Arabidopsis thaliana: one gene and its partner. The protein of the gene in region 2 interacts with the protein of the main gene of each other region in a pairwise test. Each region holds a gene or a part of one and is shown on either strand. Other genes may lie near its edges.

Region 1 (3,757 bases), 3.4 Mb from region 2:
GAGACTCTGTAGCAGTGACAGTGATAACACAGTCATCATCATGATTTGTCCTCGAGTCATTAACTTCGATATGAGACCCGCTTGCTTGTCTTATTCCCTTAATGGTTAATCCTCCTTTCCCGATAACACGACCAATTTTGGAAGAAGAGCAAATAACTTTTATAGCCAACTTTTCTGATCTGGAAGACCCACCAAAACCATGAACAACAGGAAGAGCAGAAGCAGAAAAAACCGGCACAGGATTTGCAGCATTTTCTCCATAACCCTGAGGTAGTGTACCGATAAACGATGAAACATTAGCCCCATGTTGGAAAATAGAATCCTGACTTGGGTATAAACCGGCTTGTGGATAGATAGACAGATCAGAGGGAATTATAATACTAGCGGGAACTTCTTGGACAGTTGTATCCAGAGGAATCTGTTCTCGAGGACTGACTTTGTACATGATTGCAGAAACAGCGAAAAGTGCCTTCTTCACGGATTCAGTCTCACCAGATATCTAAATAAATAAGAATAAGAAACATCGATTAAAATAAGCAAAGAAACATATGCTAACAAATTCTACTGGAATTCTGATACTAACCATAACAATGTTGTCAAAATCCATGGCACAAGTGTGAGAAGGATCAGAAACATCTTTAGAGACAACCTTAACGTTAGCTCTAGTTCTACCTCTAATGTTCTTAATAATCGAACCAGATTTACCAATGACAATAGAACACTGACTAGACGGAACTAAAAGACGACATTCTCTAAAGTCATCTCTATCAATCTTAGTGTTCTCAGCAGCAGTAGCTAAAGAAGCCACAATAGCATCATGGACTTTAAGAAGAGCAGCTTGAGCAGAACACAAAGGAACAGAGTAATCCAATTCACTATACTCAATGTCAACAATGTCTTTCTTCTCCGAAACCGAGCAAAAGATCGTTATGACTCTTTCGCTACAACCTGGAAAAGGATCAACAACTTTGATCCTAGCTCTAGTTTCTTGCCTAATCAAGTTAATAACTTTGCCACTTTTGCCTATAACACTTCCCATGACACCACTTGGGCATAAGATTCTGTAAACAACAACGAGATCGTCTTTGTTATCGATCTTTTTTTCTTCGGATTCGTAAGAAAGTCTTCTCCTTTGATTCCGGTTGTTGTCATTGTTGTTGTCTCTGAAACGATTGTGAGTCCTCTTCCCACGCTCAACCATTGTTGTCTGTTTTGCAAATTACACAACCCTAAAACAGAGAGACAAAAGAAGTACAATTGATCAAAAGCAGAAGCAATGTATTCTATCGATAGAGAAATCTGAGAGGAACCCTAAAAAAAAAAGAGAGAAATTTGAGAATTGGGTGGATAAGAAAAAACTGAAAGAAACGATTTTTATGATTCAATTTGAAAATTCGTTAATTGGATTATCAATTCAAGCGATGAACATACATACAAGGTGATAGAAAATTCTAAGAGAACTTCAATGAACAGCGAGAGGCCTCTCGGGAGAGAAGAAAGAAGAAACTTTTGTTCTAAATTGTGTTAGAGAGAGAAAGAGAAAGAGAAAGATTTGTGATTGTCTGATGCAGAGTAGAGAGAGAGAGAGAGATGACGGCGATGTGTTAAAAGAGATTTTTACTTTGATTGATCTCTTTCGGTTATATATAGTTAACAATAATATAATATGAAGAAAGTCCCTAACTTTTGTTTAGATTTGGTGTTTAGCCCATTTTCTCAGAAACAATATTGTTAAACCTAAAATCTACTTTTAAGTTTTAAGGCTTAAACGGTTAAACTTGTTTAAATATTTATTGATTAATTACGTTTAGATTTTGATTCTGCAAAAAAAAGTACTTCGTTTCACATGTTATTTCGTATAAATTAATACTTTATACTTATCTCGTATACTTTAAACTTGTCTTCGTGTACCGGTTTCATACTATAATAAGTAAAATAACTATGTAATAAAACTAATTTAATTTTTTTTCCACCAAAAAAAAATTAGTTTAAATTTTAATCGCGTAAACAACATATCACATAACAGTGATTGGGTTATGGGTATTTACAAATTTTTTTTATTTCGTTGAGACTAAAACGACGTCCTTTTAGTCACTTTTACTCCTAAAATTCTTAAAATCCATTTGTTCTCCTTAAATCTTCGATTGCTCTCAAAATCTTAATTTAAAAACGAAGCCGAAACAACGATTCTCGAAAAGATCAACGAATTCGTACGAATGATCATTAATAATAATCGACTCGAGATTGACTTCATTTGCAGCATGTGTTGAGAGTGTAGGGATTAGAAGTGGTGCTGGACTATCTTTAGACGTTCCTACACGTTGGAATTCAACTTATGATATGCTTGTCAGAACTTTAAAGTTTCGTAAGGCATTTGCTAGTTTGAAAGAGTGTGACAGAAACTATATATCATTTCCTTCTAAGTATGAGTGGGATCTTGGAGAGAGAATTTGTGACCTTTTGAAGTCGTTTAGTACCATCACTGCCTACTTCTCAAGTGTCAAATATCCTACAACTAATGTGTATTTTCTGCAAGTGGAAAATTGAGTGTCTTTTGAAGGACTACGCAAACTATGGTGATTTTGGAGTGGAATAGATAGTTAGTAAGATGTAGTTAAAGTTTGATAAGTATTGGGATCAATACAGTATCATTCTAGCTATGAGAGCTATTCTAGATCCAAGGTTGAAGATGCAGATTCTTAAATCAGCTTATAATAAGATGGATTCGAGTAGTTCAGAAGAAAAGGTCAATGTTGTTGTGAAGAGTTTGAAGGATCTTTGCAAAGAACACATGGAAAAGGCTTAAACTTCTTCCACCTTCTCAACAACACACACTCCACATGAACTTCTTTCAGTTTAGGCATTGTTCTAAAATACTTTGTACGTTAGTCGTACGGTAGAGTACCATATAGCGTATAGACAGTGACTAACTGATATTATTAGTTCTTTAAAATTTTCACTCTACATGGAGTATAATAATTGATGTAAATATTTTTTAACATTAACATGAATTAGTAATAAATCGATGCAAATTATATGCATCTCTACTTTAAAGTCACTTATTTAAGTGATGCAATTTTTTTTTACATCATCTATAACTAATGCAAAATATATAAGAAATGATGTAAGACAATCTTTTTTTTTTGTATTGGGTGGATATTTTTTTTTGTTTAAAAAATTATATATATAGATAAAAACTTTTTGTCAAGATATGCATATGTAATTTCAAAATTATAATAAATTAAAACATAAGTATAATAATCATGATGACTACTATACATGAATATAATAATCATTTGTCAAGTTAAAAAATTTCACTTTTCTAAAATATTTTTAATTTTTTAAGAAAACTACTAAGCATGAAAATAATTAAAAACAGAGACCATATTTATGCATGTAGAAGAATAATACTCTTATCAACATTGTCCACCAGGTCCTCCAAACGTAAGAGTCTCTCTGGAATCATAATCTACATACTTGAGAAACATTACACCATAACACTTACGACTATCCACATACTGTTCTACCTCGTTGGCATTAATATCCACAACTGAATAATCCGAAAGAACATATTTAAGCTGTTTCATGAAACAAGACCGACTCAAATCTTTTGTCGGAAACTCTCCAGTTCCCATTGGTGGGCTTGTCGTCGGTTGAGACGATGCAGTGTTTCCTGCAAATCCACCGAAGTATACTTCAGAAGCTCCATCTACCATCTGACTTTGACGTGGCCAATAGCCTATCATTATGGATCCTA
Region 2 (3,757 bases):
AGCCTTGGATCGATACCCCATGAGGCTCATTGAAAGTGATCCAGTACTTCACTCTATCTCCAAATGCTTTGAAACAGGTGAATGCATAATGCTCAAAATCATCCCTGCACCATTTATTTAGCTTTTTAATTTCGTAATAATCTCACCATATCAGGATTTCACATTTTTATCAAAATATCATATACTCACACCACTTCTCTGCTTAGCCATCCTTCATATCTGTCTTCTAAGGCTTGTGGGAGATCCCAGTGATACAATGTCACATAAGGTTTGATTCCTTTGGCTAAAAGAGCATCTATTAGGCTGTTATAGTACTTAACTCCATCTGGGTTTACTTCCCCTGTTCCATCTGTTAAAACCAGAGTTTAAATAGACCCGTCGAAACGCACAACATTACTCATCATATCACAGCTGAATGAAATAGACTTACTAGGGAATATTCTTGACCAAGATATAGAGAATCTGTAAGCATCCATTCTCAGATCTTTCATCAGGTCTATGTCATTCTGTGATAGCAACAAAACAAAAGAAAGGCTCTTGCTTCTTAGATTCTCTCATTTGTGTCCTGTTGCGTCTTATCTTAGATTTGTTTGGATGAGGTTGCTCTGTCAAGAAGCAACCCTACTTTTATCTTCAAGCTTAAGTCAACAAATTTGTAATTGTTAGGTAAAACTTACGTGAAACCTATGATATTGATCAACCGTAGTATCCGCATTGCTGAAATCCAGTATCTTTCCTGTTGATCAAGAACGATACCATTGAGTTAACTAAAACCTTCGTGATGTTTTCTGGGTTTGTTTCTTTGATACCTGGTTTCTCCTTCGTGAAAGTGTCCCATATGCTTTCTCCTTTGTTTCCTTCTTTCACAGCTCCTTCGAACTGATTTCTTGCAAGAAAATGTTGCGATTGTCAAAATCTTCGTTCTTTCTTTGTTGGATCAGTTTGGAGAAGATGAAGAAGAAGAAGAATGTCACCTGGTAAGCTGAAGAAGCTGTTCCGAATACAAATCCATCTGGAAAATTTGCTCTGCTGATAGATTCTGAAGAAACGTGATCAAGAGGTACGAAGAAGACGACGAAGAACGGAAACAGAACTAAGACGAGTCTCATTAAAGATTCCATTTTTTGGGTCGCATGAATAGAGAAAGTGAGAGAAAGAGAGAGATAAGGGGATGGAATTTTATGGTGAATGAAAGATTTGGAGGCAAGAAAATGGAGTTTTGGTGTGTGTGTGTTTTTAATTTGTAAAGTTGAAGAAGAAAGAGGAAGAGTGCAAAACAAAAGCTCACGTCTTTTGAAGGCTTTTCTTTGGTTTTGACATTTGTTCTCTCTACTTTTACTGCACACGTTTCTTATACTTGTGCCAAAAACTTTTTAAAGTTGTTTACTCTCTTAAGATAAAAAAAAAGTTTGTTACTGAGTGACACTGATTCACCTAACTACCTATGTCTTTTTTTTAAAGATATTCTTCTTGATAGTCTTGTTATTTGTAACCCCAAATTACATGATAATCAAATTAAATTCATAGATTGAATAATATATTATGTACTTTATTTTGAGATGAGTTAATAAATTAATATATAAATATAATGTGAACTTTTATGTTAGCATCCATATCCATTTATATATGTTATTTTTTGTGTGTTTACACTTATCACAAAAAAAAAGGGGTGTATTGAACTTAGGTAAGATTTTGTGGATTTTAGATTTTGAGAGATTTTAAAAGACGTCTGGTCATTTGGTGGATTTTTAGAAGAATCAAAACAAATTTTAAGTGGCCATTAAAAAAATAAAATGGTCATTTAGTGAAATTTTATGTCAAATTTCATAAAATATTGAAGTATTTTGTGTGATAGTCCAAAAAACAATTTGGTAACCATTTAAAGACTCATAAACGTTTCTACGTGCCAATGAAAAAAAATCGAAAATTGGAGCTGCACATTGGCGAATTCCATTAATTACGAATATCAGAATTGTAAAGTTTCTATCACTAGTCCATCCATTCCGAAATTTTGAAGTAATACAAGGGTATATCCGTCATTTTATGTCAGTATTTTTTTTTTTTAGGTCATCTTCTCACTCTAGTAAATTACTCGTTTTCGTATCAATCGATTTTGTTTGTTCTCTGCTTTTTTGGTTTAGGGTTTTAGCTTTTCAAAGTTAAAACCTTTTTTTCCCGAAGAAGAATCAATACGACTCAAATCAATCAATTGAATCTATGGCGATGGCTATGAGACTTCCAGCGATATCTAGAGCTGTGACGGAAGTAGCTTCAGCTCCGGTTGGTTTGAGACGACTGTTCTGTTCAAATGCTTCAAGGTTCTCTTTTTTGTCTCCACAAGCTGAATCCCAAACACCGGCTCGTCCTCAGGCTGAACCTAGCACCAATCTCTTCGTCTCCGGTAACAAACCCTTTTCATCTCTCAATTCATTTCGAGGGTTTATCGTTGTTAGAGTCTATGTCTGTTTCTATTTGATGCTTTTTAAAGATCCTTCCTTTTTGAATTCAGATTTAGATTATCAGGTTCGTCTAACATCAACTAAGATTGTACTCTATGTGTTTAAGAATTTGATAAGTTCAATTATTCATTTTTGGTTCTGATTTCCAGAAAAATGTCTACTTTCGATTGCTTAACTCTAGGAATGAACTGTAAGAGTTAAAGAGAGTTTCTTTGCACTCAATTACTTGAGAATTCGGTTTTTTCGGTTAAAATTTGGATGCTATGTGTACCGGATCAGTGTCTTGTTTCAAGGGTCTATGTGGGCTGTTTCTAACATCTTCAAGGCTTCTGTTTTTGTAAAGTGCTTCCTAGTATCAATTAGTTTTTGAAATACTGCTCAACATTGGGCTTTGATGCAAGCAATTTTGATTAGGCTATTACTTATTGTTCCTTCATAGCCTCTGTTTCTCACTTTTATCACATGGCCATTGAACATCTCATACATACATCTAAGGAATTTTATGTGTTCGATGCTGTGTCTCAGTTTCGTGAAAGTGTCTTCTTCTCATGTTATCTTTATCTTTGTGTCACTGAATATTTCAGGGCTTAGTAAGCGCACCACTTCTGAAGGACTAAGGACTGCTTTTGCTCAGTTTGGAGAAGTTGCTGATGGTGCGTATCTTATAACGACACTATAAAGTTTATGCGCAGTAAACTAGTCATCGTGAAGAAAACTAACTGTTATGATTCCTTTCTCTTCTATTGGTTTTGTAGCTAAGGTTGTCACAGACAGAGTATCAGGATATTCCAAAGGGTTTGGATTTGTTAGATATGCCACTTTAGAAGATTCTGCCAAAGGCATAGCTGGAATGGACGGGAAGGTACTATTCATTCTAATATCCATTTCTCGATTACCATATCATAATCTATTAAGAGAGATTTACACTGACAATTACCAAACGGCTAATCTCCTCTCTGTGCTTCTCTGCAGTTTCTTGACGGTTGGGTCATATTCGCAGAGTATGCAAGACCGAGAGAGCAATCACAGTCATATCAACCTCAGAACAACATGTCTCGTCCTCCATACTATGGTAACCGCTAGAGAAACAGTTTTCTTCGGTTCTTATGAATCTTTTATATTCATATTTATGCTTCATTCTATCCTCTTCTATGATCGAACTGTGTTGTGCTTCGTCTCGTGTTATTACCTTTAGAAGATTAAAAACTTCAAATTATATTTTGAAGGAATAATCAGAAACTGTCATTTACAAAACCAAAGTATTAAGTGTAATAGTTTTTTAAGAGGAAGAGGATTTT

The links. Proteins that work in one complex are often made in the same cells at the same time.
Region 1: the proteins of AT5G54580 (region 2) and AT5G46190 interact in a two-hybrid assay, tested with the Arabidopsis thaliana proteins (one large-scale study listed by BioGRID).

The regions. Positions count from the first base shown.
Region 1 is NC_003076.8:18,724,634-18,728,390, forward strand, and holds the start of AT5G46190 (RNA-binding KH domain-containing protein), read right to left. Parts: upstream 1,617-3,757; 5' UTR 1,436-1,616; exon of another isoform or gene 1,432-1,435; intron 1,370-1,431; exon of another isoform or gene 1,230-1,369; 5' UTR 1,202-1,229; coding exon 584-1,201; intron 500-583; coding exon 1-499. Other genes in the region: AT5G46200 (carboxyl-terminal proteinase-like protein (DUF239)), read right to left, coding at 3,417-3,757.
Region 2 is NC_003076.8:22,169,115-22,172,871, forward strand, and holds the start of AT5G54580 (RNA-binding (RRM/RBD/RNP motifs) family protein), read left to right. Parts: upstream 1-2,051; 5' UTR 2,052-2,217; coding exon 2,218-2,401; intron 2,402-3,043; coding exon 3,044-3,112; intron 3,113-3,214; coding exon 3,215-3,321; intron 3,322-3,431; coding exon 3,432-3,542; 3' UTR 3,543-3,757. Other genes in the region: BGLU41 (beta glucosidase 41), read right to left, coding at 1-104, 190-349, 431-506, 678-736, 810-879, 975-1,121. UniProt on the Arabidopsis thaliana protein: Involved in C-to-U editing of mitochondrial RNA. Functions as minor mitochondrial editing factor. Controls 6 percent of the mitochondrial editing sites.